3 linked regions of the Kluyveromyces lactis genome follow. Each later gene encodes a partner of the first gene's protein in a complex. Links are inferred from orthologs where the notes say so. Each region holds a gene or a part of one and is shown in the gene's direction. Other genes may lie near its edges.

Evidence for each region. The genes of interacting proteins can lie anywhere in the genome.
Region 2: RPC40 (region 1) and RPA14 share a complex: the UniProt entries of both Saccharomyces cerevisiae proteins name them as parts of the RNA polymerase I (Pol I) complex. The link is inferred for Kluyveromyces lactis from reciprocal best matches to the Saccharomyces cerevisiae genes RPC40 and RPA14.
Region 3: RPC40 (region 1) and RPC34 share a complex: the UniProt entries of both Saccharomyces cerevisiae proteins name them as parts of the RNA polymerase III (Pol III) complex. The link is inferred for Kluyveromyces lactis from reciprocal best matches to the Saccharomyces cerevisiae genes RPC40 and RPC34.

Annotation. Positions count from the first base shown.
Region 1 is NC_006040.1:1,252,515-1,255,290, reverse strand, and holds RPC40 (DNA-directed RNA polymerase core subunit RPC40), read left to right. Parts: upstream 1-1,263; coding exon 1,264-2,268; downstream 2,269-2,776. Other genes in the region: U4/U6-U5 snRNP complex subunit PRP31, read right to left, coding at 1-910; GLD1 (Gld1p), read right to left, coding at 2,767-2,776. UniProt on the Saccharomyces cerevisiae protein: DNA-dependent RNA polymerases catalyze the transcription of DNA into RNA using the four ribonucleoside triphosphates as substrates.
Region 2 is NC_006040.1:1,414,721-1,417,128, forward strand, and holds RPA14 (DNA-directed RNA polymerase I subunit RPA14), read left to right. Parts: upstream 1-1,426; coding exon 1,427-1,906; downstream 1,907-2,408. Other genes in the region: peptidylprolyl isomerase CPR1, read right to left, coding at 465-953; HOM2 (aspartate-semialdehyde dehydrogenase), read left to right, coding at 2,375-2,408. UniProt on the Saccharomyces cerevisiae protein: DNA-dependent RNA polymerases catalyze the transcription of DNA into RNA using the four ribonucleoside triphosphates as substrates. Component of RNA polymerase I (Pol I) which synthesizes ribosomal RNA precursors.
Region 3 is NC_006040.1:383,852-386,876, reverse strand, and holds RPC34 (DNA-directed RNA polymerase III subunit C34), read left to right. Parts: upstream 1-1,431; coding exon 1,432-2,523; downstream 2,524-3,025. Other genes in the region: putative ATP-dependent permease ADP1, read left to right, coding at 1-1,144; NNR2 (NADHX dehydratase), read right to left, coding at 2,656-3,025. UniProt on the Saccharomyces cerevisiae protein: DNA-dependent RNA polymerase catalyzes the transcription of DNA into RNA using the four ribonucleoside triphosphates as substrates. Specific peripheric component of RNA polymerase III which synthesizes small RNAs, such as 5S rRNA and tRNAs.

The DNA of each region.
Region 1 (2,776 bases):
CTTGATTCCCCATGGTGCAATCCGCTCTCGCAGCAAGAGCAACCTTGGCAGAGACCATTCTAAGCGCCTGTTTCTGGAACTCAGGAGGCTGTGTTTGTACCACGTCTGTATAGAATAGATATCCCTTTTGTCGTACCCCAGAGATATCTAACGATTTGCCATGCAACGTTTTGTCCTGGCCAATGGATGCCAAATTACAACTGGGAACCACACTTAGTTCTTTAACACTACCACAATGTGTTACCAGTTTAGCTGCAGTATCAGGTCCCAATAAAGCACATAAGTTTGGAGCTACCATTTGTATTCTTGTCTCAACATAGTGTGAGACGTTGTCCCGTAAGTTGTACAGAATATCGAACCAATGGATGGCCTTGGAGAGGAGATCCTTATCAATTCGAGCACCCTCTTTGAAATCTGTCTTTAGAGACATAGATACCACAAGGGTTTCCTCCTTCGATAGCACTTGGTCTAATTGCACGTTGGGAATATCCTGTTGCAGCATCTTGACCACGTCGACGTATTGTTTCCTTTCAGGGACAATAGTTTCCAACCCAGGGAACTTGGCCTTGTAGGTATCTACAATGCATTGAAACACCATGGAAAGCTCTGTATCGAATAAAGGCATCAATTGGCCCAGTTTTATGACATTGTAAGGCTCTGTCGTATGGTTTGTTGCATCTCGTATTATAGTTTCGTGCTTGGCAAGTTGGATGAGGTCATCTAAATCCGCGCCTTGGTGCCAGAATTGCGCGTGAAAGTCAGATATTAGGTTGCTAACACTAGGAGAGGGTAAAATATCCGATTCTGTGGCTATACCACTGGTTATACCACTGGTTACACCACTTAACCCATCATCCAAGCTTTCCTCATCGCTGACACTTCCATAATCTTCGTCATCTAAAAGGTCCATTATCACCTTGTGAAAGAGTAAGACAGGGGAATATGGTTATCCAGTTACAATCCAACTGTAAAATACCACATACTGAACTAACTGAGGATGGTCAAAAGAGCAGTAATCGACTAGTACCTGCTCTCGAGTAGCTATCTCATCGCATTTCTACCAATCTTTAATCATATATAATCACTCTATACGATGTGATCTTTTCTTTTCCAAAAATTTTTCAGTTCTTTAAAGCGATGAGATGAGCTTGAGATGAGGTATCTACACCGATGAGACGGACCTTGACCAGTGTCATAGGGCTTTTCTGAGGTCGTTTGAGAGCTCAAGAGGTAGCATAAACGTAGCAATACAATTGAAAAAGGATGTCCAATATCGTTGGTGTTGAATATAACCGTGTGACGAACACAAGTTCAACAGATTTCCCTGGATTTAGTTCGGATCAAGACAATTCATGGGACTTGGAGAAGTTCAAGGAAACTTTTGACGTACAAATCGAGAGTTTGGATGAGCGTGAAGTGAATTTCGATTTGGTTCATGTCGACACATCGATTGCTAACGCTTTCCGTCGTATTATGATCTCAGAAGTACCATCTGTCGCTCCAGAATACGTCTACTTTTTTAACAATACGTCTGTGCTACAGGACGAAGTGTTGGCGCATAGAATCGGGTTAGTGCCATTGAAGGTGGATCCAGATATGTTGAGTTGGGTGGACACGTCATTGCCCGAATCTGAAAGGTTTACAGATGAAAATACGATAGTGATGTCGTTGAACGTGAAATGTACCAGGAACCCAGATGCTCCAAAGGATTGTGAAGACCCCAAGGTTCTTTATAGAAACGCGCATATCTATGCTAGGGACCTTAAGTTTGAGCCTCAGGGGAAACAGGTGGAACAATTTGCCAAGTGTCCCGTGGTGGCAGCGGATCCAGATATCTTGTTGGCCAAGTTGAGACCAGGTCAAGAGATTTCGTTAAGGGCACATTGTATTCTAGGTATCGGTGCAGACCATGCCAAGTTCTCTCCGGTGTCGACAGCTAGTTATAGACTATTACCACACATCCAGATCACACAGCCTATCACCGGTGATGATGCCAAGAAATTTGTGAAATGTTTCCCTAAAGGTGTCGCAGATGTCAACGAGAAGGGTGAAGCTTATATCAAGGATCCAAGGAAGGATACCGTGTCCAGAGAGGTGTTGAGACACGATGAGTTCCAGGGGAAGGTTAAGTTGGGTAGGGTGAGAGACCACTTCATCTTTAACGTGGAGAGTTCTGGTGCTATGACACCGGAAGAAATCTTCTTCAAATCGGTCAGGATCTTGAAGAACAAGGCGGAATACTTGAAGAACTGTCCAATCTCACAATAAGAAGCCAATTCGCATGTTCTCTATTTAATATCATCCACTCCCTTCCATACACAGACAAACCGTGCATCATAATTCCATTTCTTTCATTCCCTGTATCATACGCATTAAGCCACTCAGTGAACAGATTAGGCACTTATATATATTCATATATAAAGAAGCCACTACATCTAAACTAGTTTAATGTACATTTGTTTTTAGATTCAACTGTGTTACACCATCGCATCTACATTTGTCGGTTCAAACGTCTCCTGATCCTGCGCCATTGGCCGTGCTTTGGTTATAAGATTTTCGATCATGGCTTTTGGATCCACTTCGAGTATCAAGACGTTACCATTATATCCGTCACTCAGATCACTCTGGGCTTTCTGTGTATAGGTTTCGTCCGCGACTTCGTGATCTTTGAATGGTGAGATGGATAGTACAGTTACGAGGAATAGCCCTACTTGAAAGAATAGAATTAGCAGTTGGTAGAAAAGGTACGATGCGTTACCCTTAAAATTACTCGAGG
Region 2 (2,408 bases), about 160 kb from region 1:
TATAGCCTGTCCAGCGTGATCAATAGCGTACCACTGCAGATACAACGGGTTACCGCACTGAAATGACGAACGTATCCTCACTGATCATTAATCATGATCATTATTTTATGTTGAAAAGTCTTGTAAAGGTTGCGCTGATTGCAGAGGGCAGCTAAATTGGGAAATTTCAGGTGAGAAAAGGGAACAGGCCCGGGTAACCATTTTCATTGGGTAGCTACATTTGTTAATGGCCAAAGAGGAGAGATGATGATCTAGTCATAAACTTCCATTGATATAAAAGGGTGTTGTATATATGTATTTGAGTGTCTTCCATTACCAATTGAGTGAGATCAAATACACTCAATTAGTCAATGGGTTGTTATAGACATAAGTATATATATAGATATCCCGAGCGATTGAAGTGTGATAAAGGGAAGAAAAAAGGATTAAAATGAAAAAAAGAGTCAATTCCCTAGCTTATTTCCTTACAATTCACCAGACTTAGCGATAACAATTCTGGCCTTGGTAGCACCGGAACCGGAACCCAGGGATTCGACCTTCTTGACGACATCGAAACCATCAGCGACTTCACCGAACACGACGTGCTTACCATCCAACCATGGGCATGGAACAGTGGTGATGAAGAATTGAGAGCCGTTGGTGTTTGGACCAGCATTGGCCATGGACAACAAACCTGGCTTTTCGTGCTTCTTGACGAAGTTTTCGTCTGGGAACTTAGCACCGTAGATAGACTTACCACCGACACCAGTACCGTGAGTGAAGTCACCACCTTGCAACATGAAGTCTGGGATAACACGGTGGAAAACAGAGCCGGCGTAACCGAAACCCTTTTCACCAGTAGCTAGAGCTCTGAAGTTTTCAGTAGTCTTTGGAACAACATCGTTGTACAATTGGAAAACAATTCTACCCAATGGTTGACCGTCAGCTTCCACGTCGAAAAATACCTTAGACATTCTTAGTTTAGTTTAGTAGTTGATACTTGGTGTGTTGTAACCAAGATTTTGCAAACCAGAACAGAAGAGCAAGAACTGGACTTGAATTGGAATTGGATTGAAGTTGAATCAGAGTTCAATTGAGAAAGTGGTTGGTAGTTGCTAACAAAGGGTGGCGTTGGCTTCGCAAAATGGTATTAGGTGATGACATGCGGCCGGGTAACGAAAACGGAAACCCCATTATCTTACACATCAACCGCATTGTCGCCGCAAGTCACGTGACACACGTGACTTGCATATTTTGTTAACATCGCAAGGCACGGAGAAACATGCCTGAGTTACCCGTGCCTCAGCTGAAAAATTCTTCGAGAGACAAAACCTGAATCGAAATAATGCGATGAGATGAGATGAGATGAGATGAGATAGCCAAAGGTTGGGTAAATATATAGATGCTGATTTGATTCATCGCACTCCAACGAACAACCACGTATACCATGCTAAGGGGAACTAGAAGACCAGCAAACTCCACTTTGAACACGCCCGTTGTGGTACATACGGTGGGCACGCCAACATACCTATCTAAAGACGAAGTACTACAATTCCTAGCAAGTTTCATTGCCGAAAAGGAATCAGTACCAGGCGTGACACTAGCGTCAAGCGGAGCTTCTACAACCCAGGGAGCAGTAACTTCTGGTGGCATTAGTGCCGATGAAATGGCTCTAGATACACAGCTTTCCAGTGCTCTTGCGCAGCTGAAAAGAGTCGAAAGAGATTTCAAAGGTCTACCACCTCAAGTAATGGAGATGGAACCCTCCAGCACAAGTTCTACTGGTAATACAGAAGAAGATACGGTGGCTAAATCTGCTACTGGAGGGAAAAAGATCAAGTTTGCTGATGTGCCGGAATCTTCACAAACCTCCAGTGACAGCAAACAAACATCCTCATCCTCGGAATCGTCATCAGACTCTGAATAGACGGCTGATTTGCACTACCCACGAATCGGGAGGGTATTCATTCATTATATATATATATATATATATATATATACATACATACGCTAAGTTACATACAGTGACCGTTATAATCAATGCATAAGCTTGGAGCTCACCCTAATTGCAACATACCACGTGACTTCAAATACACAACTTTTTCTTTTCCAATGGGCTCACCTGCGGTTTCTTTCACACAGAGAGAGTGTGAGTCAGTTGGAATTTTTCGTCAAAGTGATATGACATCAGTTGAAAAGAATATCAACATTAACATCCGATTCCTTACTACCAGGTATATATTTGTACACACTTGTAGCATTCATCGTTGCTCTACTTTGCTTCTAATATACTTATCTCATTTTCTTGATCGTATTTATTCTAAAGCGATAAAGAGGATCTGAATCTTGCTTAGGAAGATTAAGAAAGAATCACTACTTATAATATACTATAACTATGGGTAAGAAAGTCGCTGGTGTCTTAGGAGCTA
Region 3 (3,025 bases), about 870 kb from region 1:
TGAGGCTACACTACCTACTACAGAGGGTCTTAACCCAGTTCACAGGGTTGAGCCGCATCGCCGTTCTTTGACTGGAAGCCCAACACAGACAGAGTGGGAACATCTGGCTCTTCACAGGGACGAATTTAGGGATTTGTTATCTCAGTCCGAAAACGAGGGCCAAACTGTGGGTGATGTCAACACGCACCTATTACATTCTCTTTTCAAAGATGGTGCATATTTCCAGAAACTGAAGTTTGAAATTAATGAAATTTTGTCTGCCGGTATAAACGAAGAATTAAGAATTCCACAAGCATACAAAGCGGCAACTTTCTTGCAGCAACTCTCAATTTTGAGTTCAAGAACGTTCAAAAATGTCTGCAGGAATCCAAAGCTATTGTTAGGTAACTACGTCTTGACGGTAGCTTTGGGTTTATTCCTGGGTATCCTATACTATAATGTTGAAAACGATATCAGTGGATTCCAAAACAGACTAGGCCTTTTCTTCTTTATTTTAACGTATTTCGGTTTCCTGACATTCACTGGGTTAAGCTCCTTCTCTTTGGAAAGATTGATTTTTATCAAGGAACGTTCCAATCATTACTATTCTCCGCTAGCGTATTACATTTCAAAAATACTATCTGATATTATTCCATTACGTGTGGTACCACCTATCCTACTTGGGTTAATACTTTATCCTTTGGTTGGTTTAAATATGAATGATAATGGGTTCTTCAAATTTGAAGGTATTCTAATCTTATTCAACCTTGCCATCTCACTGGAGATTTTGACAGTTGGTATCATTTTTGAAGACTTGAATAACTCGATTATAATCAGTGTTTTGATAATCCTTGGTTCTTTGTTATTCAGTGGATTATTCATCAACACTAAGGATATTAACAATATTCTGTTCAAATATTTGAAGAACCTTTCAGTGTTCTATTACGCCTACGAATCTTTGATTATCAATGAAGTCAAGTCTTTGGTTCTTAGAGAGAAGAAGTATGGTCTCAATATTGAAATCCCAGGTGCCACTATCCTAAGCACATTCGGTTTCATCGTACAAAACCTAGTGTTCGATGTCAAAATACTAGCGCTATTCAATGTCATATTCCTAATATTCGGCTATTTCGCTCTTAAGTTGATAGTTATTGAGCAAAAGTGATCAAAAAATCATGGAGCTTATAAAAAGAGTGACGAACAGCCACTCAAACACAAAATTAGAATCTATTTAATACTGAAAGTTCATATATATTCAAAAGAATACAACTCTTATTACCGTAAGCCTAGTACAGGGAAGTTCATTTATTGATAGAAGTACTTTCATGTATCGGATCTCTTTATGTTCTCCATTGACTATATTGTGTGTATAACTTCCATCTGTTTGCCGCTTTTCTTTTGGAATGGATTCAAAAAAAAAAAACTGATCAAAGCTCAAAATAATAGCACGCGATGAGAAGAGGAATGGTTCAACTTATCGAACTAATAATTGATGAAAGAGTCAGACGCCTGACAAATTTACAAACTGATCTATTGAACCATTATTTAGGCCTACCTCTATTATTGTTAGGAACGCAAACGGTGTATTTTCCTTCGAAACCGATAATGAATTCGTTATTTAATTCAACAATAAAGCTCTCTGATCCAGCCAGAGAGCTGCATGAGAAGATGTGTTCTCAAGAAACTGGTAAATTGTTCTCTCAAAAAGAGTTAACTTCCATGTTAGACAACTGCTCGTTAAGTGATTTAATGCAATATGTTCAGGAACTTTTGGATAAGAATCTATTGAAGTTAGTGAAACAGAATAAAGAACTTAAGTTCCAAGCAGTAGATGCAGCTGAAGCAGAAAAGAAAAGCGGGATGAGCTCAGATGAGGCTCTTGTCTACTCATACATCGAAGCTAGTGGAAGAGAGGGTATATGGACGAAAACGATCAAGGCGAAGACAAATTTACACCAACATGTGGTTCTGAAATGTTTAAAATCACTTGAATCACAGAGGTACGTAAAGAGTGTAAAGAGTGTCAAATACCCAACCAGAAAGATATACATGCTTTACAATTTGCAACCATCCATTGACGTAACAGGTGGTCCGTGGTTCACAGATAGTGAATTGGACGTTGAGTTTATAAACAGTCTTCTGACCATCGTTTGGAGATTCACAGCGGAAAGAACATATCCAAATGGTTTTAACAACTTTTCCGACGAAAACGGTAGAGACGCACTCTATTCCAGTAACGTCAAAAGTTACACCACGATCGAAGAGATCCTTGAATTTATTTCTGAATCAGGAATATCTACAGAACAACTAACGAAACCAGATATTAGATCACTGTGCGAAGTTCTTGTATATGACGATAAGTTGGAGAAAGTATCTTTTGATTGCTTCAGAGTAACGTTGCAAAGTGTCTTACAGATGACTCAACCTGTTGGGGGACAACAAAGTTCGAAAAGAGAAGAATATTCTATATTCAGTCACGGAAATTCCATGGCAGCTTCCAGTTCAGATAAAGATGTCCTATACTTTGACGAATGGACGCTGTGAAGTTTAGATGCAAAGGTAATTTAGTCATAAAAAGAGTGTTCGTAATTGATGTATGTATATATGCCAAGAACTAATTACAAACTAATAATAAAAGCGTTCAACTTATGAGTCTGTTTTTTCTTTCTCAGTGGTTCACTGTGAAGGAGGGTATAACTCATTGAACACTTCTCCCACCATGTTGTTCATGTCAGTAGTTTGCAATTGTCTGCCTACCTTATCATAAGCAGCCCTGCTAGCCATTCTTGTTGCAGTAGATCCGATGAAACAAGATAGCATAGCCATTTTGGACCAAGGAAGATTTTCTCCGTTACCTTCTTCTACTATTGTTTCCAATTTGAAATCATGCACTGCACGAGAGAAACCAAACATGGTTGCGATTATACCGGTCAGTGTGTCACCCTGACCACCACATCTTTTCATAGATCCCTGAACGTCGTTTTCCCAACGTTCACCTTGAGAATTAACGATAATGTCATTTTGTCCCTTTGCAACAGTGATACAT